Linked DNA regions of Notamacropus eugenii. The protein of the gene in region 1 interacts with the protein of each later gene in a biochemical or structural test. Links are inferred from orthologs where the notes say so. Each region holds a gene or a part of one and is shown on either strand. Other genes may lie near its edges. The genes, in order: RAB5A, APPL1, RBSN and OCRL.

Evidence for each region.
Region 2: the proteins of RAB5A (region 1) and APPL1 form a complex in vitro, tested with the Homo sapiens proteins (2 studies listed by BioGRID and IntAct, with this or other methods). The link is inferred for Notamacropus eugenii from reciprocal best matches to the Homo sapiens genes RAB5A and APPL1.
Region 3: the proteins of RAB5A (region 1) and RBSN form a complex in vitro, tested with the Homo sapiens proteins (3 studies listed by BioGRID, with this or other methods). The link is inferred for Notamacropus eugenii from reciprocal best matches to the Homo sapiens genes RAB5A and RBSN.
Region 4: the proteins of RAB5A (region 1) and OCRL form a complex in vitro, tested with the Homo sapiens proteins (2 studies listed by BioGRID and IntAct, with this or other methods). The link is inferred for Notamacropus eugenii from reciprocal best matches to the Homo sapiens genes RAB5A and OCRL.

Annotation. Positions count from the first base shown.
Region 1 is NC_092874.1:34,215,174-34,222,334, forward strand, and holds the start of RAB5A (ras-related protein Rab-5A), read right to left. Parts: upstream 3,020-7,161; 5' UTR 2,898-3,019; intron 2,283-2,897; 5' UTR 2,184-2,282; intron 1-2,183. Other genes in the region: EFHB (EF-hand domain-containing family member B), read left to right, coding at 3,194-3,973, 5,251-5,313. UniProt on the Homo sapiens protein: The small GTPases Rab are key regulators of intracellular membrane trafficking, from the formation of transport vesicles to their fusion with membranes.
Region 2 is NC_092874.1:467,907,408-467,914,256, reverse strand, and holds the start of APPL1 (DCC-interacting protein 13-alpha), read left to right. Parts: upstream 1-3,833; 5' UTR 3,834-4,103; coding exon 4,104-4,157; intron 4,158-6,849. UniProt on the Homo sapiens protein: Multifunctional adapter protein that binds to various membrane receptors, nuclear factors and signaling proteins to regulate many processes, such as cell proliferation, immune response, endosomal trafficking and cell metabolism.
Region 3 is NC_092874.1:431,153,694-431,161,149, forward strand, and holds the start of RBSN (rabenosyn-5), read right to left. Parts: upstream 3,020-7,456; 5' UTR 2,871-3,019; exon of another isoform or gene 2,788-2,870; intron 2,004-2,787; 5' UTR 1,848-2,003; coding exon 1,700-1,847; intron 1-1,699. UniProt on the Homo sapiens protein: Rab4/Rab5 effector protein acting in early endocytic membrane fusion and membrane trafficking of recycling endosomes. Required for endosome fusion either homotypically or with clathrin coated vesicles.
Region 4 is NC_092879.1:51,288,438-51,295,340, forward strand, and holds the start of OCRL (inositol polyphosphate 5-phosphatase OCRL), read left to right. Parts: upstream 1-3,895; 5' UTR 3,896-4,083; coding exon 4,084-4,119; intron 4,120-4,357; coding exon 4,358-4,437; intron 4,438-6,903. UniProt on the Homo sapiens protein: Catalyzes the hydrolysis of the 5-position phosphate of phosphatidylinositol 4,5-bisphosphate (PtdIns(4,5)P2) and phosphatidylinositol-3,4,5-bisphosphate (PtdIns(3,4,5)P3), with the greatest catalytic activity towards PtdIns(4,5)P2.

The DNA.
Region 1 (7,161 bases):
ATTTCACCTCAGCATTGGAGTGCTCATACCTTTGATCTTATCATCCATAAGTCTTCTACTTCCATGTTCAAGAACTCTGAATGTGCTTTATCTGATGATAATTTTTTATCTTTCTATCTCTTCCTATCCCTTATTTTCATCTTAAAATCTATATATCTTCTATTCTGAACTTAACAAACTGTAAATAAAATGGGCAATTCCATATAGAAGAAGAGAAAGAGGAACGTATGTCAGTCTTCAAATGTGTTATATACAACTTTCCTCTCTTTTTTAATAATTAATTTAACATGTTACTTTTAAAGCTATCCTGCAGCTATGTGATTCTGTCTTCTTTTGTACATTCAGAAGTGCTTCAGTGACCTTTTCTCTTTTGGGGGGTGAAAGGGAAGATGCTATCCTATCCCTAGTCTCTTACTCCCTTCCACCCAACCCCAAACTGGAAAAAAAAAAAAAGAGAAATAAAAGCCTTGTAACAAAATTTGCAGTCAACCAAAACACATCCCCACATTGGCCTTGTCCAATTTGTCATCCTGAATCTTGAATCCCTCACCTCTCTATCAGGAAGTGGGTAATGCGTTTCATCTTAGGTCCTCTGAAGGTTGGTCATTGCATTGGCCGTAGTTCGTTTTTTAAAATTGTTTTTCTTTGCAGTGTTGTTGTTTTTGTATAAATTGTAATACTGGTTCCACTTACTTCACTCTGAATCATGCCCATCTTCCAGGTTTCTCAGAAAATGTCCCTTTCATCATTTCTTATGGTGCTATTTCACTACATTCACATATCATAATTTGTCTGGTTATTCCCTAGTTGATGGGTCCTCCCTTTGTTCCCAGTTTTTTGATATAACTAAAGAAGCTGCTATAATTATTTTTGCATATATGGATCATTTTCATCTTTCTTTGATCCCTTTGGATTATAGATCTAGTAGTAGTGTTGGTTTTCAAACTCATTTTTCCTCTCTTGGTTTTCTTCTTACCTGTTTGACTGTTAGTTCTCAGTCTTTTGATGGATTTTAATCTATGTCACTCACACTAACTGTGGGTGTGTCACAAATCTCTGTTCTCCATTGTTTTTCTCTCCATAGTCTTTTGTTGTTGGTCTCATCTATTTCCATGGGTTTAATTATCTCCAAGCAGATGATTCCCAGATCTCCTGAGCTCCAGTTCTGCATCACCAACACTTTGTTGGACATTTCAAATGGGATATACACCTTCCTTCCTTCCTTCCTTCCTTCCTTCCTTCCTTCCTTCCTTCCTTCCTTCCTCCCTCCCTTCCTCCCTCCCTCTCTCTTTCTCTCTTCCTTTAATTTTTTTTTACAATAGCTTTCTACTTGGTCTCCTTTCCTTAAGTCTCTCTTCATTCCAAACTCTTTGCACCTGCTAAAGGGATTTTCCTAAAACATAGATCTGACCACATCACCTTCTAATCATTAGACTCCAGTAGCTTACTGTCATCTCCCAGAATTAAATATTATAAAGTCCTTTGTTTGGCATTTAAAGCTTTTATGACCTGGCACCTTCCCACTTTTTCAGTCTTAAGCACTGTAATGAACTCTGCAACTCATATTTACTGATGCACATGCTGTTACTCAAACACAAGACATTCCATGTTCATTCTTCCCACTTTTGTCCTTGCTGTTCCCCATGCCTTCCTGCCCTGGTATGCCCTCCCTCCCTCCCTTTGACTCTTAGAATCCCTGGCTGCAATTAAGACTCAAGTCAAATTCCACTTCTTTAGGAGTCCTAGCAGCCCCAGCTGCTTGTGCCTTCATCTCTAATGGGCACTTCACCTATTCTCTGTGTGTCTTATATGTAGGTAGTCATTTATATAGTCTCTCCCATTAAAATATAAGTTTCTTGAGAGCAGGAACTGTTTTTGCTTTTTCTTTGTAACTTTTTAGCACTTAGCACAATGCCTAGCACATGGTAATAAATGTTCATTGGCGTGATGGGGACAATTTCTGGGCAAAGATAAAGTGAGGTAGAAGTAATTCTATCATAGGAATATATCACAGACCATCTGAAAAGAATGAGGGAAAAGACAAGGCCTTTAGGGAGTATTAGATGGCTGACATGGAGGTATGACATGTAGTGATGGAAGACTTCAGTTATCTAGACATCTACCAGAACTTTCTGCCCACAGCAGAACATCTAAGCATGCCTTCTAAGCATTTTCTACCTTACCTTTTCATTACAATATGACAATTTCAAACCAGGTCTTCAGACTCCAAATATGGTACCTTTTTCATGGGTGGGAAGCTTGTTCTTTCAGGTCTGGAATCCCTAATGCAAAGGAAATGTATACTAGCTTTATAAAAATGTAGATGCAAATTTAGCATCCTATCCTGTGATTTCTCCCCTCCCATACTGGAAAAGGTGAAGAACTAACCTTCACCAATAAGGAAAACTGATTGTTGGAATGTAATAGAACTGGAGAAGAGATCTGGGTATAGTCTGACATATACCTTAGATTCTGGGAAAGCAGATTTCAATGAGTTCAGGTGAGTTTAGCTGGGAGAGATGGGAAGTTCTCAAAAATGAAATTCTGGAGATATAAACAATTCCAATTAAGAGAAAAAAGAAGGGTTGCTTAAAAAGCTATGCTCCTAAGTGACACCTTTACTCTCTCTAATAGAATCAAAACTATCTGTAACAGGTAGTGAATTGTAGTGCATAAAAGCACTACCCTCGGAAGTCAGGAAGACCTGGTTTTAAATCTAATCTTAGACACTTACTAGCCGTATGATCCTGCTTGCAAGTCACTTAACCACTTTGTGCCTCACTTTCCTCATCTGTAAAATAAAGGGGTTGGGCTTCACTGCCCAAAAATGTCCCTTCCAGTTCTACAGCTTTGATTCAATAGCCCCATATGTTAGATAAGTCATAAGGTGTCGGCACCTTTCCAAGCTCTGTCTCCTTCAGAGGAGAGAAACAGGAACTCAGAGACATCCTGTCCCTGCAGCCGGCAGCCGGCGGGGAGCAGGTAGGTAACTTGCTCCCTTTCCTCTCGAAACCAAAACCTCACAATGGGTCCAGAGCGAGGGGAGAAAGGAGACCTGGCCCGAGGGGGCGGGGCACCCCACGGCCCTCCCCCGTTCCCTAGGTAACCAGTTTAAACAGTTACTCTCCCTTAGTCTCTGGGTCATTTGGTGCGGCCCAGGATTGGAGGGGAGTCCAGACCTGAGACTGCGATCATGGTGCCCCCATCAGACTCCGCGGAGACAGGGAGCCCCCGGGAGAAGGAGGTCTCCGAGGTCTTGAATACCCCCCCGGGAAAAAGGCCGGTTCTCAGCCCAGGGCAAGGCTGCCTCATGGGCTCCGTTAATACCCCGCGGTTGATGTCACTGAAGCTCTCACCTCCTTTGGGCCCCAAGGCCCACCCTATACCGTCTTCGAAATGCTGCGTGGAGGGGCGTAACTGGCCGTACTTGGATAAAGGCGGGGGGCAGTACCGGGAGCTGCACTCTGCGGGGCTTCGCTGCCCCAACCGCCCCAGCCTCCTGGGGGACATGCTGCCCTCAGCGGAGACAGATGCTGCCCTGGGCATGAAGAGTGGTTTGGGATTATCAACCCGGCCCCCCACGGCCAGGTACAGCGAGAGGGACCCGGAGGATCTGCGGAAAATGCGGGAGAAGCTGGCCGCGCAAGCCCCATTCTGTCCGCAGCCCAACATGGGCTTAGTGAACGAGCTCGCAGAGAAAATCTTTTGCCCCGAGAATTTGGGAGCCCCCGAGGAGGAGGAGCCCTTGGGCAGCCCGGAGACTGGACTGCCCAGTAGGGTGATGTGTAACCTGGAGCCCGAGAGCAGGGACCCCATAGGGTTGGTGATAGAGCCGCCAACTTACGACTTCGGGACCAAGCCCGAAGGAGCTCCCCAGCTTCCAAAGGATTTGGAACCCGGAGTGGAGCAGCCAGATAAGCCGAGACCCATTTATTTTGGGAAATTTATTGACCGTAATCCTGCCTTGCCATGTGTGAGTTCTGAGTCCTCTTTCACACCTATACTTTTCTAACTCACTCCTTCCCCTTACCTTTCTCTGGGACCAGTGGTGTACTTAATATGACAACTAAATTAGAACACTGGCTTCCGATTGCGGTTTATGGACACCAGTTATTATTTTGTAGAAACTTTCTATGTTACTCCTTTGCCCCCACATTGGATCTCTGTTTCCTTGGATGCTAACATGATCCATGATTTCCTTAGTAGGGTATAGTCTCTTCGCTGTTGCAGATATCAACCTCTCTATTTCATTTTTGCCCATGTCCTCTCATAATCTCTCCAGGAAGGAGTTACTGGGTGTGTTAGAGTCTTTTCTTTCATCTATGAACCTTTTGAAAGCACTAGCACAACACTTAGGTTCTTTCTGCTATCCCTGACTCTGACTACATGAAGAATCTGCCTCTTCCAATCACATATTTCTTTTGATGATATGCTTTATTAAAGCTCCATAATACACCTTTTGAATGTTGTCTTTCTACTGATCACCCATTTTTGAATGTCTTTGTTCTCCTTAAAATACCCACTAAAGGCTTTTCTCTCTCCAATTCACCCTATTGGATATTTACTTTCCCACTCCTCATTTTCTCAGCATTTTCTCCCCATGTTTCTGAGCTGCCTTTCCCCCATGTCATGCTAATGTTCTCCCTTTTTTTTTCCAGCCCCACTGGTGTGTAGTAGGACATATTTAAGTCTAACCAAAGGAAAAATAGTGTTCACATTGTTAGAGCTCTGGCTCTAGAATCCTGCAGTAGCGTTTGGGTTCAAATACCATCTCTAATGCTCACCTCCTTCATGACCTTGGTCAAGTTCCTAAACCTCCCTGGGCTTCCCTTTTCTCATCTGTAAGGTGAGGAGGTTGAACTCCATGGTCCCTTCCAGTTCTATGGTCCTAAAGCAAAAATCCATTCTGGACCCAAGAAAGTGATTGAAGAGATTCTACTTTTCCATTCATTGTTTATTTTGAGATTGAAGAGATTCTACTTTTCCATTCATTGTTTATTTTGAGATTATTATTAGTGACATTATAGTCTCCTTTTCAGGGGATATGATATGACTTGATTCTATGAAGATATACTAGTATATATGTGTATGTATACATTTGTTTCATTTTATTTTTTACTTTACTTGGGATTGTAATTCACTTGAAAACACAGGCCCAGGCCAAGTTCCAAAGTCACTTTCATCCCTAACTGTGCTGATCCTTTTAGTTTTCATCTCTTACTTTTTTACCTTTTTTTTTTTCTTCTTTAGGCAGGGAAGCTTATTCCAGTTGGAGACAGAGCTGAAACCTGTTTAACTGAAAAATGGCCTCCAGTGAGTATTGTCAATAGATACTTGCTTATTTCTTTGCCTTAGATAGGACCTTCAAGACAATTTAGTTAACTCTTTGTATTCTCCCTTAAGCTTATATAAAATGGGTATTGGAAATATTTAGAGGCTTTCCTCTTCTAACAGTTTGGTGAGAGGTGAAAGTGATATGAGGCTTCCAAATATACTAGAATTCAAGGTGTAATGGGAAAAAGCACTGGAGGGAGGCCTGCATTCTAGTTCTGGCACAAACTACTTAACCTTTTAGGACTTAAATTGATTTATCTACCAAATAAAAGGATGGAATTAAGTAGGGGTGGGGAACCTGCAGCCTCGAGGCCACATATAGCCTTCTGAGTCCTCAAGTATGACCCTATGACTCAATCCAAAGGGTCATACCTGAGGACCTATATTTGTTCTGTGAAGTTTGGATTCAGTCAAAGGGTCACACTTGAGGACCTAGAGGGCCACATGTGACCTCCAGTCCACAGAATCTCTACCCCTGGATTAGAGCGTTGTTAAATTCCTACCCAAATCCAAACTACTGTAAGCCAATGACCTATAGTGGCAGTCCCAGTGTAATGGAAAGAGAAGGAAGATGGAAGAGAAAAAGCATTTTATTAAGTACCTAGGAACAGTGTTAAGTGCTTTACAAATATTAGTCAAAAGACCTCATAGGGATCAAGTCTGACTCTTGAGGCCTCTAACTGTATTATGTTGGGCTAGTCATAATTTATCTGACCTTCACTTAAAAAATGCAAATTATAATGTTTTCAATACCATCTCAAGGGACTATAATCCAGAAAGCTGGATACTAATGCCAGCTCTTGATAGTAACCATTACTAAGTAAATTCATGCCAGCTAGAAGAAATCTAATAGTATTTTGTCCTTTGAGATGCTAGTGCCTTTTGAATATTGATTTTCTAAATGCTGCTAATATAATTTGTTTACATGAGAGGTAAAGGGGAGACAAATTGTTAATTGATTTTCAGTAGGATTTTTCAGATGAACTACAACTGATTAGTTCTGTTTGTAGAAGTTAGCAAGGAACACTAAGAAACCACACAGATTCTGGAATCAGAGGACCTGAGTTCAAATCCTGCTTCCAATGGTTACTGCCTGAGTGACTAGACAAATCACCATTCTCTGGGCCTCAGTTTAATCCTTTGGAAGATGAGGGGATTGAGCTAGCTGTGCTCTGAGGTTCCTTCCTGATGGGAATATGTGATCTCATGAGTTCATGATTTCAATAATTGCATTACAAATTTTTTTTTTTTTTTGGTAATGTGACACTACGGATAGAGAGCTGGCCTTGGCTTTAGGTATATTTGGTTTCATGTCTTGCCTCTGACACATACTGATGGTAATCTCCACTTGAAACCTTGACTTGCATATCTGTATGTTCTTGTATTTTTCACTCTCTTGATCATATGCCTCTCACTGCAAAAAGAGGGGCTTGTATTACATGGCCTTTAAGCTCCTATGTTTGATACTTAACAGAAAAAGTTAACACTAAAAATAATTAATTCTATAACTTTTTCTCATAAACAGATTACATACACGTATTATACATAGTATGTATACTATATATAGTATAAGCTCTAAATATATAGTATATATGAACTATAAATATATAGCGTATACTCATACAGACTGTAATATACAATGTTTTGTTCTGGACTTCATTGTGTTTAAGTAGACTCAAAGGGAGTGCAATAGTAAATTAATATTATTGTTAAAAAGCTGTGTTGATGCCTTTTGTTTTCAAACCATTTTCCTCCATCATCCTTGTCTCCCTGTCACAAATTAAAACACCTAACCAAAATCATTTTTGGAAAGATGATAAGTAGTTC
Region 2 (6,849 bases), about 430 Mb from region 1:
TGGAATCATGCAAATCCCCATAGCTTTGGAGTTCATTAGGGTTTAGCCCTTGAGGTCCCAGGCCTACAGCCCAGAAAACTCCTTAGAATGTCACCGGTTGCCATACCTGCCTCCTCTCTAGCCCTGGGCTTGCTTCTCTGCCGCTGCCTGCACTGTGCCCCATACAGTTAGGCTTGGGCAATCCCAGGTCCCAGTGAGCCAGCTGCCCCAAGCACATTCTTTTCCTAGATAGTCTTTGTCCCACTGCCCCTGCTGGAAGCCTGGGGCATGAGGAGCCTGGTACTGCTAAAGTCGTTTAGAAGACTAAATCTCTGACTCAAGACCACCCAACCTGGCATGAATCTGCCCCATCCCACTCCCAAGCACTCTGTAAAGAGCTGAAAGGGACGTTAGAAGTCACCTAGTCCAACCCCCTTATTTGACAGATAAGAAAACAGAGGCCTGGAGTCAGGGAGACCTGAGTTCAAATCCTACCTCAGACACTAGCTGTGTGACTCCAGGCAAGTCATTTAACCTGTTTGCCTCAGTTTCCTCATTTGTAAAAAGGGGATAATAATAGTATCTACTTCTTGTTTCACCTGTAGCTCCAAGATGTAACATGTGCAGTGGCCACACCCCAATAAACCTGTCTCAGCAAATGGGCTAAACCAGATTGAGGGTAACCAATGGACCTCCAACCCATGGTGAGTTAGGATAACTAGCCCAAGCACGTGAAGATTTCCTCTGGCAGAATGGGTACATGGGTACAATTTGTTCCAAGGGCCATGAAGGTGGCTAAAGCAGGAACTGTGGAATGGTTAGAGCCTGGTCAGACATCCAAGAGGCCACGATCATCTGCCACATCCCTAGCGGTCTTGACTTTTGTCTTTGCCATTGATTACGCAGGAAGAAAGAGTGAAGCTGATAATGGTGACTCTTGTAAATCCAATTCACTCCATGATCTCATTGGTCCTCTTTGAAAAAGAGGGGGGAACAACAAACTCTATATAAAAAAATGTTAACGATGATTCCAGATAACATTCATAGGAATCTTGAACAAAGAAGAGATCTTAATATGATAAAATAATTTAGAATTAACATTCTATATTAATACAGTCATTACTCATTCCTTCCCTGAACACTTCCTGAAGAACTGAAAGGATTTCCTTCTGGCTATCAACACCTTACACTCAACTGCAGAAGAGGGCCAGGGGCATCCATAGATGGGTCATGTCCTTAATGCAATCACTCAGGGGGTATAAGGAGGCAGTTAACTTACCCAGTCCGAACTTAAATTTGGTTATTATTCTTAATCTAGTTCCCTAAGAAACGCCTTAGCTTTTTTTTCCTTACCTACCCTCCTAAAGAGGGAAGTCTGGAAAGGGCTTTAGGCTATAGTAAATAACCATTTCTTAATATTTTCAGTTGACTCAGAAAGAAAGTTCTTAACCTGCTTCTACAAGTCCCTTCAAATTCTCACTTAAGCCTCTTTTGAAATGCTTACATCACCACTGGCAACCTGAAATGGCCCTCAATTGAATATTATTTGAACTATAAAAATCCATCCTCTCTGTAACAGCCCCTCTAAGAATGGAGATCTGCCTCCCCCCCAAAAGAAGCCAGAACCCTGCAAATGGCTCTCCAGCAGGGGCTACCTTCTGCCATCAAAGAAACTCCCCCTCCACCCAACTTTGCCCATGAAAAAGTTGACCCTTGCCAGGATGCTGAAAAGGTCCACAGTCATGGCTTAAAGACATGATAACAATGACTGAATCTCAGAGCTGGAAGGTCTCTCAGCAGTCACCTCATCCAACCCACTCCTGATCTGTAATTAATTCCCTTGACACTACCCCTACCAAGTGGTCCTCTTGCTGGAAGCCCTGGAGAATGAGAGGCGCCCACCACCTCTAGAGGCAGTGGTCTGTTTCCGGACAGCTCTGCCTGAATGAGCTACCCCCAAATGACCTCTTGGTTCTCCCGAGCAAGGCTAATCCTCCTTCCAAGAGAAGAAGCCTTCGATAATCTGAAGACAGCTGTCAATCAACATCAATCAAATAATCAATAAACATTTATTAAGCACCTTCTAGGCACCAGGCACTACGATAAGCACTGGGGATACAAAAAGAGGCAAAAAATTGTCCTTGGCCTCAATGAGCTTACGATTTAACAAGGGAGACAACAGGCAAACAAATCTATACCAAGCAAGCTAACACAGGGAAGGCACTGGGAAGGCTTCCAGTAAAACAAGGAACTTTCCTGAGGAAGGCATAGAAGCCAGAGTCACGTCCCATCCTCAAGTCTTCTGTTCTCCAGGGGAGTACCCCCAGTTCTTTCTGCTGATCATCTCCAGCTCGCACAGTTGTCCCAGTCACCTGGGGGGGGGGGGGGCACTCCTGGGACGCCATAAGCCCAGCAAACACTTGCCCTATTTCCTTTGGTTTTTCCATTTCATTGTAAACTCCCTGAAAGCAGGGACTGCCTTTTGCCTACTTTTGTATTCCCTGGGCACTTAGCATAGTGCCTGGGGCATAATCCATGCTGATCCATCGAATGATTGATTCTCCCAGCCCATCAGACCTTCTAGGGTTATAGGGGTGCCCGAGGGCTACACTGCCAGGGTTTTCTGACCCCTTGGCACAGCCAAGGGTGTCTTTAGGGCCAAGCCCTCAGGCAGTCTGCCCCAGGAGTTTCCAAGGGAAGAGTGGCCTAGGTAACCAGGCTTCCCAGGGCCCCACCGTGCCATCTCCCTGGGCTCAGTCGGGGAAAGCCAATCAGCATCAATTAAGCACCTGGTGTGTGCCAGGCACCGAGCTGCACCAAGGTGAGGTAAGAGGAAAGCAAAGGGCACGCTGGGTGGTCTGGGGGCACGGCCTGGCACTGCTTGCGGCAGAGGGGGCAGGGGCGGGCAGGGAGGCATCCCAGCCAGTGAAGGAGTGGAAAGCAAAGGGCAGGAAGGCAGCCGGGCCCACCACGATCCCGTGCGTGCCTCAGTTTCCTCCCCTGTAAAACGACCCCATCTCCGGGGCGTCCTGAAGACGGAATGACGCGATGCTACCCGCAGGCAGCCCCCTCCTCCCTCGGGTGCTCCCCAGGGGGCCGGGACACCCGGCCGGCCCGTCCCCAGCCCCCACCCCGGGCCTCCTCCCGGAGAGGAGCTGGGGAGCGCCCGGTCCTGAGCGGGCGGCCGCCTGTCAGCGAGCGCGCCGGACCGACGGACTGATGGACTGACAGACGGACTGATGGACGGACGGACTGACCGAAGAGGTAGCCAGGCCTTGCACCCCCGAGGGCAGGGGCGGCCCCCAGCCCCGGAGGCCCTGAGGTCCAGGCGGGGTCGGGGCGCCACTCCTCCACGGACCCATCGCGGACTCAAGCTCGGAGGAGTGTCCCTCCACACCCGCCCAGGGCACGGCGTGGGGCACGGGGCAGACAGAGGCGCGGAGTCCGCGCCCCACGGCCCGCGCGTGGGCAGCCCAGCAGGGCTGGCAGCGGAGGGTGCTGAATGACGGGGGAGCGCCCGGGTCCCTTCCGGAGGTGAAGGGGGGCCGCGCCCCCGGCTCCCGGAGCATCCCGAGCCTCGGACCCCGCCTGGGCCCCACCTCCCCGCCGGGCGGGGCGCCGGGAGGTCCTTGGGCTTGGGGTGGGGGCGGGGGGGAGGAGGGAGGCTCGCGCCCGCGCCGCGGGAGCGCGGAGAGCATGCCCCGCCCCCCCTCGCCCCCCGCCCGCCTCTCCTCCGCTAGGCCCAACGTCTCGAGACCGCCCGCCGCCCCCGCCCTTTTTGCTCTAGCAGACTGGCGTGGCCGCCAGCCAATGGACGGCGCATCTGGCCGGGCCTGGCCAATGAGGGGCAGAGGGGCGGGATTTCCCCCTGCGGTCGTTCCCCGGGATCCGAGGCGGCGGCGGCGTCCGCGGCTGAGGAGGCGGCGGCGGCGGCGGCGGACGGGAGGACGGACTGACGGACGGGCGGGCGGGGCCGGATCCGGTTCGGTCGGTGGCGCGCCTGCGAGGGCGGAGGGTGCTCGGGCTGCGGCTGTCGCCGTCGTAGTCGCCGTCACTGTCGCCGCCGCCGCCTTCTCCTCAGCTCGGTCCAGACCCGACCCGGGCCGGGCCGCCCGCCAGCCGCCATGCCGGGCATAGACAAGCTGCCCATCGAGGAGACGCTGGAGGACAGCCCGCAGGTGAGGCGGCCCGCGAGGCCTAGGGAGGTCCGGGCGCGGCGGCGGCAGCGCTGCCCCCTCGGCCCCCAGGTGTCCGGGCCCGGCCCCTTCCTCCCGCCCCCCGCTGGGCTCCGGAGCCCGGCGCGCCCCTCCTCCTCCCTCTCCTCCCGCGGCCGTGAGGCCCCGAACCGGGGGGTTCCCTGGGCCCCCGCGAGGCCCGGGCTGCGAACCCAACTTTGGCCGAGAGACGATGGGGGAGGGGCGCCCGCGGCGGCTGGACCTCCCGGCCGGTCCGCGTCGTCAGCCCCGGGGGCAGGCCCCCACCGCCTTCTCCCCACTTTTCTGGGGTGACCCGAACCGCGCCCCCGCGCCGGGGTAGACCCGCTGTGACTTTGTGCCGTGGGGGCGGGTACCCCGCCTGGTGGTTGGGGAATGTTCGGGGGCTGGGGGCCCCCCCGAGCGAGCCTTCATCGAGCTCCTGCTGTGTACCCCGTGCTTCGGGCCGCAGCGCCGCTGCCGCCGTTATCCGCGAGTCACCGAGGAGGAAACTGAGGCAGGGGCCGCCTCCCCGCCCCCTCCTCGGGCTTGCCGGTAGCCGGCGGCGCGCCAGGTGCGCGCGTACCTGGGCGGTGCTGGGGGATGGGCCGTCCCGGGGGCCTGTTGCCGTGGGGACGGTCCCAGCAGAGCCGAGACGTCGTCGGAACGCGGCCCTTGGAGCGGATCTCCTGAAGGAGTGGGATGCCCTCGGATCGGGCGGAAACGCTTTCTGGAGCCTAGAACCTGCCCCCATGACGGGGTTTTGTAAGCCCGCGTCAGTGCCAGGAAAGTAGTTTGTACAGACCCGCTGCCTGCCTGATGATGCGTTTCTGGTCCGCTTCTACCGATGCGAGGGAAGCAATCTCCTGAGTTTATGGGGTGTCCTGAGTAACATTCCTATCTGTCCAAACCTCTCTGGGTTCAGTCTGCTATTAGTATGTAATGTGTAACGTAGTACATGATCAGAATTTATAGAGGGATCTGTTAGGATCATATGAAGGCAGTGCTGCATAATGGATAGATAAGTGGTCTTGGAGCTGGAAAAATTTGGATCCAAGTGCTACCCTCTGACATCCTGACTGAGGGACTTTGGGCAAACCCCTGGACCCCTGCCTTGGTAAAGGAAGGTCTTCTCTGGGAGCTCCTGCCACACATTGAATCAGAGGTCTCTATCCCTATTGATAATCAGCAAGCATTTATTAAGCCCTCCTTAATAAATGTGCCTTGCCCTGGAGATACAGGTACAAAGACTGAAATAATCCCTCTTGGCTGTGGAGAAAACAACAAGTACAAATATAAGTGTATGCAGAAGAAATACAAACTTGTTGAATACGATTTCACGTAGAAAGTGATACCTGAGCTATACTGCCTCGAAGGAAGAGAAGGATTCTCTGAGGCCAAGATGAGGAAGGCATGCATTTCAGGGATGGGGAGCAAACAGCCACTTTGGTGGCATCACAGAGTGCAGGGAAGGAAATTACATCTAGTGAGGCTAGAAAGACAGCTTAGTCCTTGTTTGTGGAAAAGCTAAGGAGGATTTTATATTCTAGAGGCAATGGGGAGCCACTGGAGTTGATTGAGTGGGAGGGTCACAGGGCTTACGGAAAATCACTTCGGCAGCACTGTGTAGGGTGAGGAGAAGTAGGGAGAGACAAGGCAGGCTTTTGTAATAAGCAGGCAAAAGGTGACCAGAACCTGAACTAATACTGGTAATAGCTAACATTTGTTAATATTATAACAGCTAGCATAGCACCTTGCTAGGCACTGTGCTAAGTATTTTACAGATATCTCACTTGATCTTCACACCCCTGAGAAACTGAGGCAAAAGAGAATAAGTGACTTGCCCAAGGTCATACCAAAGGTACTAAGTATCTGAGACTACATCTTCCTGACTCTAGGCCCAGGCACCTATCCACTCTCTCCTTCTCACTCCCTGAAGCTGCCTACTAAGGTGGCAGCTGTATAAAGTAAAGAGAAATAGTCTCAAGAGATGTTAGGGAGGTAGAAACAGCAGGATTTGGCATTTGATCGATTGATTGGCTGTGTGGGTTGAGGGTGAGTGAGCAGTATAGCATAATGCCAGTGTGAACTTATGAGAAGAAAACAGAGAGCTTGGGGGGGACAGATAGTGAGTTCAGTTTGGGGCCTGTTGGAGATGCCCCTAGGACATCCCACTTGAAATGTGTACCAGGTAGTTGGTGATTCCGAACTGAAGCTGAGCAGTGACATGGAGCTGATGAAATCACCGAGAGAGAAACTAGAAGGAGATGAGAAGAGAACTAGGAAAGAACTTTGGGGAACACCCACAGGTAGGCAGTGTGACATGGATGGGGAATCAGCAAAGAAAATGGAGGGGAGATCAGACAGAGATGAGAGCATACCAAAGAGGAGAGCATGCTCAGCTGTATCTAATGCAGTACAGAAGCATAAAGATGGAAAAAAGACCATTTAAGAGATAGTTGGTAACTTTGGAGAATAGCTGCAGGTGAGTGATGAGGATAGAAGCCCGAATGTCAAGGGCTAAGGAATGAGAGGAGCAGAAGGGCAGGCAGCAGGAGACTGCTTTACCAAGGAGTTTGCCTGAAAAGGGGGGGGGGGGGGGGGGGATAGAGGATGCTAACTTGAGGGAATGGTCAGATCCAGTGAAGGTTTAAGAATGAGGGAGACTTGGGCATGT
Region 3 (7,456 bases), about 400 Mb from region 1:
GACTGATAACGGCATGGAAACTTCTTTGCTGATGTAGTGATGCTAATCAGGCAGTTACTCTACAGTATTTTTTCAAGCAGGTGGAAAAAAAGCTGTTTTAAAAGTATTGAAGTCATCCTTACTAATAATGGAGTAAAGGTTATAGGATGAAATGAACAGAAATTTGCCAGGCAGAAAATTGGAAATATTAATGCACATTGCAAACTCAGCTAGAGGGCGCCACTTTAGAAAGACTGCACCACTTAACTTCTATTGAGTGTCACTAAAGTACTTCCTGGCAAACTTCTCAAAATGGGTGTGGTCCTTCATCAGGAAACTAATTAGGAATAATTCTGTCTTTATTTTTAAATAATCTTTTCTGAAATAACTGAGAGGCCAATCTCAACTCTCAACCACACCTTCCCCTATTTAAGTAAAATTATCATTCTGATGATAAGTAGGTCCATGGTAATAAATCAAAACCCAAAGATCCATACAGCAAGGATGTTTTCTTAACTAACAACTGATATTAGCCACATAACTTTTCCATAAACTCCAGATGTCCCAAATCCAAAATTAGCTCTTTTCAGTTCAATATCTGTTATTAAGCTAGCCTCCTTAAGCTAGCACCATGAAGGCTATGATATAAGGGAGAAATGCGGTATACTCTGACAAGGCTTTTCATTAATCTTTGGTGTCATATTTTCAAAATGTTATTGTTAGCTTCTAAGACTGGAACATTTGTCAACTTAGGTCAATACAAAGGTCATCCTCTCCATCCTATAAAAGATTCCCTGGGACCTCTAGGGGACTTCACAAATTAACTTTTTAACTACATAAAATTAAAAACCCCAAAATGGGAAAAATGGAGGACATTTTAAGAATTCTCAGAGTTCCTTTAAAAGGAACAATGTCTCATTTCATCTATTTTAAATAAATCACCTGAAATACATTGTAGACATAAACAAACTTTTTTGGGGGGGAGGGGTGGGCAGAGTATAAATGAAACTGTCTAAGAGGTTTTTTTTTCTTTTTTTGCCTAACATTCCCAAAAAAATACTAGGATGTTCTGAGTAAATTTTACAAAAATGACACTAGGAAGCAGACAGGTGATACTGTGAGAATAAATCTTACTAGCAGTCTAATATAAAACCCTAGGCCCCATTCACACCATCACTGACCAGTGAATGAATATTACAGAAGTACCTGCTGTATAAAGTATAAAAACTGCTAGCATCCACACATCACTACATACTTCTTTGTAGAGCAGAGAGATGCACGTTGTAAACCAGCATTAGGGGCCCTAAACCAAAACTGCCACATGAAGGATGTTACTGATCATATTTTCAAAGCCTTTTTTTCTTCTCCCAGCAATTCTGTCTGGTCCAGTTGTGCTTCATGACCCTACCTAATACTTCTCTGTTTTGGATATCTGAAGCCCAGTCTCCTAGCCAGTTTCCTATCCCTTGTGCCACGCTGCCTATGTTCCGCTCAGGAATATATCTGCCTTTTCTGCATTCCCATCACCACCCTATCTTTCCCCCAAACCCCATCATTACCCTATCCAGACTCTTAGTGTAAAACTATCATCTCATTTCCTCTTGCGTGCGAGCTGTCACTGATGAAAACATCAGGAAAGTGGCCGAGGGATTCCACTCTCCAGGCAGCCTGTCTGCGCAGTGCCCCGCAGCCCAGTGCACCCAGCGGGCAGGCCTCTTACTTTTTATCTGCCCTCTGACATCCCTGTCCTCGCTGGAGTGCTCTTCCTCATAATGGGACTGGAGCTGGTAAAAAGACTGCAGGTCCTTGAGGCACAGAGGGCACAGGAAGCCCTCCCTGACCTCGCCAGGGTCATCCAGAGAGGCCATGGTGGCCTGGCACTTCCAGAGGACAGGTCACTGCATGTCCAGGAGGGAGCCGGCCTCTCAGCAGCGCAGCTCGCCCGGGGCCGGCTTACACAAGGCAGAGGCTGGGGAAGGGCATGGCCCCCCGGGGGGGGTTTCTGGTCAGCCACAGAAGGAATCCTGCAAATAAACGGGAAGAAAGCCAGGTGAGAGGGGGCCGGACACCTGGGCTGCATCTGAACTCGGGGCAAGCTCCACCACGGGCACGGCCTCCCACTGTGCCCCAAGGACCCCCCCCCCCCCCCAAGAGCTTTGATTTGGGCGTGCTCTGCACCGACAGTTACTGTAACTGGACATTTACAAGTCTCGGCACTGTCGCCAAAGTCGTTTTGGCCTCCAAGTCCCAAAGGTTTTGGGGGCCCCCAGCAGACCCCACTTTTGAGAACCCCTGGTGTGGACTTGACCCCACCCAAATAAATAAGAGGAAGGCTTTTTCAGTAAGAAACACATTCTTAAAGCACCTGGAACTTGGAAAGATAAAAGCGCGCTTAAGCCTGCACCCCGCACCCGCACCCCGCACCCCGAGCGCTCGGGGAAGCGCGGCGGGCCCGGGGAGCCCCTTCTGCCTCCGGGGGCCCGGAGTCTGCCCCGGCCGGCCTCAGACCCCTCGGACCGGGGCGGGCTAGGCCCACGGCCGCGAGGCTGGAGGCGAAGCACCCCCGGACCTCGGCCAAGGGGGGGCCCCCCATTCTCCCACGGAGGTCCCCGAGGGACCTCCACCCCCTCCCCAGGATCCGCCCAGGGAAGGCTGCAGCGCTGAATGAGGGGTGACTGACGGACCCCCCCCCCCCCCCACACACACACACACAATAAATACCCTCCCCCCCACACACACACACCCCCGCGCCGACACGCCCCCTCCCCTTTCTCCTCCCAGAGCTCCCCTCCCCCCCTCCAGCCTCACCTCCCGCCCCCCGCGGGTCCCTCCTCCCTCCCCGAACGGCCCGCGATGCGATGCGGGGCGGAAGGAAGGGGCGCACTCAGTACCGCTGCAGGCCTGCGACCAGTGCCGCCCACGGGGCCGGGGGCTCGCCCCTCCTCCGCCTCTCTCCCCTCACTGGGCCCGGGCGGCCATCACGCATCCATGCCCTCGGCCCTCGGCAAGAGAGCCTGCGCGGCAGGCAGGGCAGGGACGCATTCATCGAGCACCGAGTTATCGAGCCACCCCAGGCAGGGAGGGAGCGAAGCTAGTGTCTGCGTGAGCTGAGCCTCTGCGCAGGCGCCGCGGGAGAATTGGAGACGAGGCGTGGGGAAGGAAGAGGGCGGGGAAGAGGGAGACCAGGCTTGTGGTCGCCGCCGGCCCCGCCCCCCAGGGGCAAGGCAGAGCAAAAGACAGCCCCCCCGCCCCGCTCCTGTTAGAGATCTACACACACAGGCATCTGTAATTAAGTGGGCATGGGTTCTCCTTGTGTAGTTCATTGATTACATCTAGGTTATAGAGTCATATCCTAATTATATAAGGTTCTCTATGTCATTCTGCAATTGTATATAGGGGGCGGTTATGTAGACATCACAACAGTCCTATATGGTCATGCCGCTGTACTTCTAGTCATGTAAGTAAATAAGCATACCTAGAGAGGGTTACAGTTACAAGGAGTTATACGGATGTACAGTTGTAATAGTTGTAGGACATGTGTGTATGTGTGTGTATATGTATGTACGTATACATGTATCAGACTTGGCAGGGAGTCCTAGCGAGGAATGGAGCTGGGAACAGCAGCAGCAATGGTCGTTGGCTGCTGAAGACTTGTGCATCACATGACCTCATCCCCAATACTGTCTTCCCTTTACCTAAACCAATAAAACTTCATGGATGCGCCCTTGCGGCAGATACTGGCATCTAATAGACTGTGTGATTGTAAGGAGAAGAGACAGACAAGATGTGAGAGTGACAAAGGCAATGTGTGGTGCAGAGTGCTGGACTGATCATAGACTTATCCTTTCCAAGCCAAATATTCACATTCATCAAAACCGCTGACCCCAAGGAAAAATGACTACCAGAAGAATTAGTGTCAACAAATTAGAGTTCTCTGAGCGTGAACAGTTTGTTGCTAACTTGGAGGGAAAGTTGAGCCACACATAGTTGGCAACAGTGGAGCAGAAAAGGAGTGGGCAGCTTTCAGAGATTTGGTGTACAGCACTGCATTTGCTCTTCTGGGTCAGAATATTCACAAACACCAAGACTGGTTTGACGAAAATAATGAGGAAATTCAGAAGCTGCTAAACGAAAAACGAGAACTCCATAGGATTTACCAGCAGGATAGTTCATCCAGCTATAAGAAGGCAGCATTTAATTTCATCAAAAGTAAAGTACAAGCAAAGCTTAGAGAGATGCAGGATTCCTGGCTCAGTAGGAAGGCAGATTAAATTCAATTTTATGCTGATAGTAACAATCCAAAGTGCTTTTATGATTCCCTGAAAGCTATCTATGGACCAAAAACCTATGGTGCATCACAACTACTCAGTGCTGATGGAGCCACATTGATTAGTGATAAGGACATGATCGTAGAGAGATGGACTGAACACTTCCTTAGTGTTCTCAACAGACCATCATCAGTCAATGATGAGGCCATTGACCCTTTGCCTCAGGTTGAAGTCAATCCCTCCTTAGTTGAACTTCCAACTGAAGAAGAGGTTTTGAGAGCCATTAGGCTCCTTTCATGTGGCAAGGCACCTAATGCTGATTCTATTCCAATTGACATTTACAAGGTAGGGACACCATTGCTCATACAAAAACTGACTGAAATTTTCCAGGTTATATGGCAAGAGGAGGTTATTCCCCAGGAGTTCAAGGATGCCTCCATTGTCCATCTCTATAAAGGAAAAGGAAATAGATTGTCCTGCGACAATTACAGCGAGATCTCTCTCTTAGTCGTTGCTGGCAAAGTTCTTGCTAACGCCTTCTTAATAGGCTGATCTTTCACCTGGAAGATGGTCATCTACCTGAGAGTGTGACTTCAGAAAGGGCTGAGGAACAGTTGACATGGTGTTTGCTGGCCAACAACTCCAGGACAAATGCCAGGAGCAGAACAGAGGTCTATATACAACATTTATAGATCTGACCAAGGTCTTTGACACTGTTAGTCATGAGGGCTCGTGGAAAATTATGTCAAAATTTGGTTGCCCAGAGAAGTTCATCAGTATTGCACATCAATTTCATGATAGCATGTTTGCCCGGATTCTGGATAGTGGACAATGCTCTTGTGCCTTCGCAGTCACCAAAGGAGTGACAGGACTGTGTAGTTGTTCCCATGCTTTTTAGCATGATGTTTTCAGCCATGTTGTGAGATGCTTTCAGTGGGGATCAACACGACATCAAGGTCAACTACCATACTGATGATAAGTTCTTCCATTTGAAAAGGCTACAAGCCAAGACCAAAGTGGAGAGAGTGTTGGTGCATGATTTTCTGTTTGCAGATGACTGTGCATTCAATGTAGTCTCTGAAGCTGACGTACAACAAAGTATGGATTAATTCTATACTGCCTGTGCTAATTTTGGCCTAATAATTAACACCAAGAAAACACAGGTGCTCCATCAGCCACCACCACACCATCCATTTGTAGAACCATTGGTTACAACAAATAAAGAAGTTTTGAAGGCTGTGGATAAGTTCACTTACCTTGGTAGTGTACTTTCCAGGGATGTACACATTGACAATGAGATTGACATGAACATTGCCAGAGCTGGCTCAGTGTTTGGGGGTCTCCAAAGAAAACTAAGGGAGAGAAGAGGTATTAGACTGACTACCAAACTGAAGGTCTACAGAGCTGTTGTGCTGACCTCATTGTTGTATGCCTGTGAAACATGGACAATCTACCAGCGCCATGACAGAAAACTGAATTGCTTCCATTTGGACTATCTTAGGAAGGTTCTGAAGATCACCTGTCAAGATAAGGTACCAGACACTGAGGTCCTTGCTCAAATTAAAGTGCCAAGCATTCAAACTATGCTTCAGAGAGCGCAACTCCAATGGTCTGACCATGTTGTTTGAATGCAAAACGTACGCTTGCCAGAAAGACTATTTTATGGAGAACTTGCATGGGGCAGGTGATCACATGGTGGCCAGAAGCAACGACACAAGGACACCCTCAAGGTCTCTGTCAAGAACTTTGGATTTGAGTGTGCCACATGTGAGACACGGGCACAGGAATTGAAACAGCACAAAGGAAACATAGGACTCACAAATTTGGAGTAGACACTCCAAATGTTCACACAGATTATCTGTGCCCAATGTGTGGTAGGGTATTCTGAGCTTGTATTGGTCTGATCAGCCACAGTCGGACATATTGAAACTTGACTTTATCACAGTGATGTCATTTTGGTCCTCCAAGAATGAAGGAGAACAACCAATGAGTTATATATAAATCTAGTCCATGTCATTGTAGTTATAGTTATGTAGGTATACAAGCATATATATATATATATACATATATATATGTAGTTATGTCATTGTAGATAGCTCTATAGATATGTATAGTTAGATATATTTTCAGGTGTAGTCATATAATTATCTATAGTCCTACATATAGGTGTATGCAGTTAATTGTTCAGTCAGTTCCACCTCTTCATGACCCCCATTTGGGGTTTTCTTGGTGGAGATACTGGAGTGGTTTGCCTTTTCCTTTTTCAGGTCATTATACAGGCAAGGAAACTGAAGCAAACAGGGTTAAATGACTTGCCCAGGGTCACACAGCTCGTGAGTGTCTCAGGCCAGATTTGAACTCATGAAGAGGAGTTTTCCTGACTCCAAAGTCTAGTGCTCTCTCCACGGTGCCACCCAGCTGACCCTATGTATATATAATTATATAGCAGTGGTTATATAGTTACCTAATTATGTAATTATGTATAGATATTTAATTACATATAGTCCTATATAGTTATATAGTAGTCCTTATTTGGTTATATATAGTTATGTAGCTCCATAGTTATGTAAATATACGGGCATATTTAGGTATATAGTTATTCATAGTTTTGTAGTTATATGGTTATATTTGTTCTATGGTTTCTATAAATCTATAGTTATATATACAGGTATATAGGTATATAGTTATATATTATAGGTAGTTATATAGTTATAAATAGATATACGGTTACATAGTTTTATGTATAATTGTAGTTGCATATGTATAAATGCACATACATAACTCTGTGTGTGTGTACATACATGTACACATACTGGTCAGTTTCATTTCTGGCCTAGAGTCTCATAAATTTGTCTCCATCTCTTCTGCTCTTTGGGAGGTCTTTCTGGGCCACTTTGGGCTCTACATCCTATGATCCTGTGACCCCTTGTAAGCAGCTCCTGGCTCACTATAACTGACTAGAAGCTGTTTGCCCCTCACTGAACAGGAAACTTTAGGTCAGGCCTTTTCCCTGTTACCCAGATCTAGAAACATCAGCCTATATTAAAGAGCATCTGATTGGCCCAGCTCCAGGCTGACCCTGTCCATTCCAGTGCCCTTTCTGAGGCACTTTCCATCTTTAAACCTGTAACAGACAGACATCAAGTGACTTCAATTCACATTTCTCACGGATTCACATCTTCCTATAAGGTGTTTCCCTAAAGAAAACA
Region 4 (6,903 bases), on another chromosome or scaffold:
GTCTTGACGAAAGTGATCTGCCCCCTCTATTCCCTAGCTTTCCACATCTATGATCCGGTTAAGGTTTTCCTTCTTAGTTTGATATCTGACAGTTATCTAACTGTCAGGAATCTAACATAGCAGCTGCAGCAGGGAAAATGTTAAATATCCTTTCCTCAATCTTGATGATAGCTTTAAAATGCTATTGTGTGTGTCCCATCAGCTTCAACTCACGGCAGAGGGTGGGCCTACTTGGAACACTGTCACTGTGTTTCATCCTTGGTCCTTTCTTCATCTTTGCAAAATATTGAGCTCATGAGTGAGGCCTCCTAAAGTGCCATTAAAGAAATATTACATTTGCTCTTTTTAGGCCAGTGTAGAAAAGGAAGTTGGTGGGAATGGAACAGTGTAGGGAAGGAAGGAGGAAGAGAGGGAGGGGGGGTGAATAGGGGTGGTAGTGTCAAAAAAAAGAATGCTTATCTTAAGTAATTGCAATCATATTTTAATTATAGTTATATTTAACTATATTTTAATTATATTAAACAATTTTGTGCCTTGTGGTCTTGTTGTTCAGTTGTGTCTGGGTTTTTGGGGTTTTTTTCAACTAAGATAACCGGAGGGTTTGCCATTTTTTAAGGACTCCAGCTCATTTGACAGATGAAGAAACTGAGGCAAAACAGGCCTAGGGTCACATAGCTAATAAATGTCTGAGGCAGAAGAAGTCTGCCTGACTTCAGGCTGGGCACTCTATCCATTTTGCCACCTAGGCCCCTCTTATCTTTCCCAATAGATGTAACCTCTTAAAAAAATTTTAGTTGATATCTTTGGTTTGCATATCACTTAGATTTTCCCCTGTATCCTTGCTTTCACTCCCTACCCCCAAGAATTGTAATTCTTTAAAGGACTGACTTTTATCTACTAGTTCAACCCTGGAGATACCCAAAAAACTTTTTTTTTGACCATCTATGAACCAAGGGGCAACCCAGACTCTGCTTTGATTATTTCCAGGAACAGGGAAATTTCCATTTTTGGACAGCTTAGTCTAATGGGTCATTTGATGTTACAATTATGACTCAGTTGATTGAGTTATTAAATAACTATGCATTTAAACATTTGAAAATTTTCTGTATTCAATTGAGGGGCATCTACACAAGTTGAAGCCCTGCCTTCAGAGAGATTACAATATTGAGGTCCAATTCTATTCCTGGAACTTTCCCATCTCTTCTATTCACTTCTCCTTAAGCAATAATCCTGCTGTGATGCTGCTCACGTCCCTCTGCTGTCTCTGGACATTTGTCAAACCCTAAATTCCCCATAAAATGAACTAAATACAATACTCCAGGTGTGGTGAGACCAACGTAGAGGACAAGTTTAGGACATTCTTCTCCCTCCCTTTTTCTGGATGCTCCCCTCCCCCACTTTAAGTCACTGCAGTCCAAGATGATATATCAGTTTTTTTTTTCTTTCTCGCAGATGTCTATCTCATGGTTAAAATTCATAATGAACTCAGGCAAAATGCCCATCTTTTTTCCCTTCTTTTTTCCCACACAGACATCCAGGCCATGTTTATTCTCATGTCAAGAAATGGCAGTTATTTTTTTTTATCCTTTCAAAGTTAAGAACTTCCCATTTTATTCAAGTCCCAGTGGTAAGCAGGTCTCCTCACTGCTTCCTGCCTTCCGAGAAAATAAATGATCCATCTAGACAAGACTTTATCAGACTCTGCTTTGAACATAACTGAGACTTTAACACAAATCCTGTTGAATTCAGGGAGTTTAATCCCCATAATAGTTCTATATATGTATTTTTACGGAAAGCATAGCATATGGATAGAGAGTCAGTTCTGGAGTCAAGAAAGGATCTGAGGCCATTTGTACCACCCCTCATATAGACATACTGGCTATGTTGCTCCTATGACCCTGAGTGTGACACAAATAGGACAAATTTTTTAGTGCCCCAACTTTTTAGTGCCACATTGTTTTTGCACTGGTGTAGTTTCCTGTAACTGGTATAATATTGAATAAATAAAAGGGGAAGGGGGAGGAGGGGAAGGGATGCCAGGCCTGTGATATTATTATAGAGTAGGGATTCCCATGTGGAAAACTGTGACACTTGATCTGAGTGTCTATTTTTCCACTCCAGTAAAGCCCCTGGAAGGCAAAGGTTGCTGGGGTTTTTTGTTTTGTTTTTTTTTTTAAATTACTTTCTTTTGTATCAATCCCAGCTCACTACTATGCATATAACAGGCAAGTCAGATTTTAACTCATTGACATTTCTGTTTCTCCAGACTGGGCTTCCTCCTCCCTCCACATCAAAACAGCCCAGTTTTGTTTCTTTTTCTTTTTCCCCCTGTTTTTAGGGAAGATTATCTGGTTGCTGGGGGCAAGGAGAAGAGAGAGAGACCAGGGTAGGAGGGAATTTGAGTAATGGGAGGATGTGGGATGTGGATGGGTGGGTGTTGGGGCGCAGTAAGAAAGGGGAGGGAGACTCCACAGGATTTTCCAGATGGGATCACCAAGACCTTAGTGATTAGAAAAGGCGGGGATAAATATGACCAGAGTTTGGGGGGTGGGGCAGGAAGGAGGGGATAAAGACATTTATGTAAACTCAAATGGGGGGGGGGGGTTAGTACACACACAGATAACTATGCTATTTAAGAGATGATGATAAATGCAGCGGTGTGAGGTACCCCAAGTGTGGTTTGAGCTGGGGGTGGGGGTGGAGGTGCTAGACAGAAAGGGATGATGGTTTTAGAAAATAAGCTAGAACATTTTTACCTGCTGGCAGAACGTTGTCACTCTAGTACCGTAGAAATTCGTTAGCCAGAATAAATTAAACTAGGAACCGAGCAGAGCAAGGAACTGGTTCTTCCTCTCCCCACCCTCAAGTCGGCGGGCGATGGGCCCAGGTGGGGGGTCTGAAGTGTTTACACTCTCCTACAGGGTGGGGGTTCTCTCCACCATTGCTCAGAGGGCTGGGAAGTCGGCTTGCCTTGGGAAATGCTCAGGATTGCCGGTTTACTGGGCTGCCCTGGACAACAGCGGGAAAGAACCAGGCAGAGGGCACTTGAGCAGCAGGAGAGGAGAAAGGTGGGCGAGCGCCTGCTTGTGCGCGCGCGCGCGCGCCTTTTCAAAGGCCCTCAGGGCATCATTAAACACATTCGAATCACAGAACAGACTGTCAAAATGGAAATGATCAGATTTAGGGATCCTGGATCCTAGAAATGGAAGGGACCTCAGACCTTGTCTAACCCAAGCCCCATAATCATACAAGGCTGTACAGTAAACATCAGAGGGTCTTGCAGAGCTAACATTCTTGCCTCTAGGTTCCACGGGGTCATTTTCCTCCAAGTCTCTTTGGTTAATTTAATTAGCACAGTACCATCCTGGCACTTTTTGGGGAGGTGGGGATGTGGCGGATGGGGGGAGGGGAGAACCTACCAATGAATAATTTCATCTGTGTATCTCTGGTGAAGGAACCTCATCTACCAAAGCACATGGGCCCTTTTGAAACAGCCTGATTTCGAGGTGCCTAGGGCGGTCCAATGGATGAGTGGCGAAATATCACCCAGGGTCACCCAGCCAGCTATACAGTAGCTGAGTTAGAACAGGAAAGTTAGGCTTTCCAAGCTCTTTTTACTCGTCTGTGCACGGATAACTGGAAGGGCCCCAGGTTGGAGAGGATGATCTAGGGCGTCCATTGTCGTTTCATTGAAAGCCTGCGATCTCAGCAGATGGCTGGCTGGCTGGCTTCCCAGCGGGGAGCCGCGGCCGAGGCTCGAGACTCCGGCTCTGCAGTGGCGGCACTAGAGCACGCGGGGGCGCCGTTGGCGGAGGGCGGAGCCCTGCGCGCAGGGAGGCGCTCGCTCCCTCTCACGCTCACTGGCTCTCGTTCTCTCTGCTGTCCGCTCGGGGCGCTCTCTCGCAGTAGGAGCGCGGGAGCTCTCTGGGCAGCTGTTAATTTCTTCCGGCAGACCAGGCGAAGCGGGGCCGCCCGGCTGGCGGGCCGTCAGGCAAGCGGAGGAGGGCTGCCGATTGGGTGGTCGGGTTCACACCGTGCGATCGGTGTTCACAACCCCCGGCGCCGGTCCGCTCGCCCGCCCGGATGGATCGGCCCACGACCAGAGTGCAGTTCCTCACAGTATCCACCTCTGGGAAGGGCGAGGGGCGAGGGCCAAGTCAAGGGGGAGGCGGAGGAGGGAGGGGGAGCCCGGGAAAGAAGGGGGGTCGGTCGTTGTCGCCCTCGCTATCGCACGCAGGCGGGGCGGCGGCCGTGACCGAAACGGGGGTCGGGCGGGGCTGGGGCGGGAGCGCGCCCCCCTCCCGAGGCACCCCTGCCTTGGCTTTGAGCTTGGATTCCTTGACTGTCCCCCCTTCATACAATCGAGGGCTGGGAGTTGAAGGGCCCCGAACGAGAGGCCTGCCGCTTGATCCTGGCTCGAAGGGGCGCACAGTCTGAGTAAGTAGCCTCGGGATCGGGCTAGGGAGGAGGGAAATCCTCTGGGCCCTGGGTACCCCCGGCAGGCAGGGACTATTCCGCCAGTGCCAGGCGGTCAGCCTCGGCCACCACCGGGCGCGGCGCCCGGGCCCAGGGTGAAGAGCAGTGCCTTCCGAGGGCTGGGCGGGGCCGGGAGATGGGAGAAGGGTTGAGGGAGGGGTAGGAGAATTGGGGAGGGGGGACCCTGGGTGGGGGGGGGAGAGGAGAATGGGAGGAATATTGAGGGGAGGAGGATGGTGGGGGACGAAGGAGGATGGGGAGGAGCAGGAGGGGAACCTGTGGAAGGCCCTTTTAAGAGCCCCTAGGGTTGTGCCCCAGTATAAGGACGCGCCCCCCCCCCCCGCCCCCCGTAGAATTAAGGATCTGGGAGGGGCTCTATTCCTAAAATCGTCTTTTTAGAGTAGAGGCAACCTCAAAGGTCTTTGATCCCAACCCAATCATTTTACACGAGGAAACTGAGGCCTAGAGACATTAAATGACTTGCTCAGGGAGTCACTAAAGTGTCTGAGACAAGATTGGAATCCAAGTTTTCCTGACTCTAAGTCCAGAGCTTTGTCCATGTTACAAATCTTACTGCCAACCTCATTCTACTGAGAGATAAGGGGGGCTCAGGGAAAGGATCATAGATGTAATGATAATAGTTGCAATAATTACAATAATATTATCTCATTTGATCTTCATAACAGCCCTGGGTGGAAAGTGCTGTTATTATCCCCATTTTACAAATACGGAAACTGAGGCAAACATTGATTATTTGCTCAAGGTCACATGTGGCTAGAAAGTGTCTTAGGCAGGATTAAAACCAGGGTATTCCCTGGGTTTTCCCCACCTCCTAGCATGGTGCTGTGGTTATATCTAGCTGCCTAGATTTAGAACCAGAAGGGAGCTCCAATGGGCCCCTATAGAGACAGTCCAGGTCCCCTTTATTTTCCAGAGGAGGAAACTGAGTGATGGCGGGAGAGAGAGGAGCTACCATACCAAAGGTCTCAAAAGTAGCAGAGTTGGAGATAAAGAACTCTAGAAAGAATCCAATTCTTTAATGTTACAGAGCAGAAAACTAAGGCCAGAAGTAAAGAATGCCCTGCTCTGCCACTGACCTATTTGGCCTTGTCACTTCATCCTAGTAATAATAAGAACAAATTACTTTTCTCTATCTCCCCCGCTTCCTTTTCTCTTTTGTATGGTCTTGTGATTTCATAAAGAACTCTGCACAAGGTAACTCCCTCTACCATGAGAAATCAGTCCAGCTCTGAATCCTAAATCCTGAGAAAGTTGATCATCTTGAGTGACTTGCTCAGGGTGATGAAACTTCTATGTTATAGAAGGGACTTTGAACCCAGGTCTTTCTGACTCATCTCTGGGCCAGCTCCAAAGACTTGGGCCTTTTTATATCGCCTTATGATTTAGTGCTTCCCTCATGCTCTTGTGAGGTGGGTAATACAAATATCCCCATTTTACAAGTGAGGAAACTGAGGCTTAGGAAGAGGACAAGTCACATAATGATAACATCTGATATTCCTGTAGCGTTTGAAGCTTTATTGATTTTACAGGTAAAGAAACAGGCTCAAAAAGAGGGTACCTCACTCACTTTTATCATAATAGTAGTATCTGACTTCTTTGTTGCCTTTAAAGGCAACAGCCCTACAAGATAAATGGTGCAAGTATCATCATTCCCATTTTTCAGGGGAAGAAACTGAGGATTAGAACTGGAAAGTGACTTTCCCAAGGTCACAGAGTAAGAGGCAGGGCCAAAATTCAACCCCCAGTCTCCTCATGCAGATTTAATATTTTTTCCACTATATCATCTCCATCTCTTTAAGCTCTTGTTTCCCATGTCGTGGTAGTGAGAATAATAGCAGCTCTCCACCTTGCTTGGTCTTTTCAGTGTATGGTGGATAAAATGAGATAATAGATGGGAAAATGTTTAGGAAAGGATTAAATAAAAGTACCTTAGAAAATGCTGTTTTGTTACTTTTAACAGACTAGGCTTTGCCTTCTTTAATTCTGTACAACTTAATCCCCACTTGCAACCGTTGATGAGAAAATTAGGAACTCCTTTAAATGGAGGCTTTTGATGCCAGAATAGTGGCTTTAGACATTACCACTTTAATAATTTGACCTAGGGGTCACATGGCCAGTGTAAGTATCAGAGCTTGGGACTCAAGCCCAGGTCTCCTGGTGCTTCCCCCTCCTACTAAGCTAGGACTAATAAATAACTCTCCCTCTGAGTGACTTGGGGACAAATACTCTTAGTAGCTTCGAACAGCATGAAGTGGGAGTTTGATAAATTATCAATGACTGATCAAAAGAACACTCTAGTGAGCTGACCATGTGGCTGCCAGCTTTCATACCATTGCCACCTTATCCGTACTCAAAATAGCTCTCGTAGTGACCACAGTCATCAGCATTACCTGTGCCAAGGGCTCT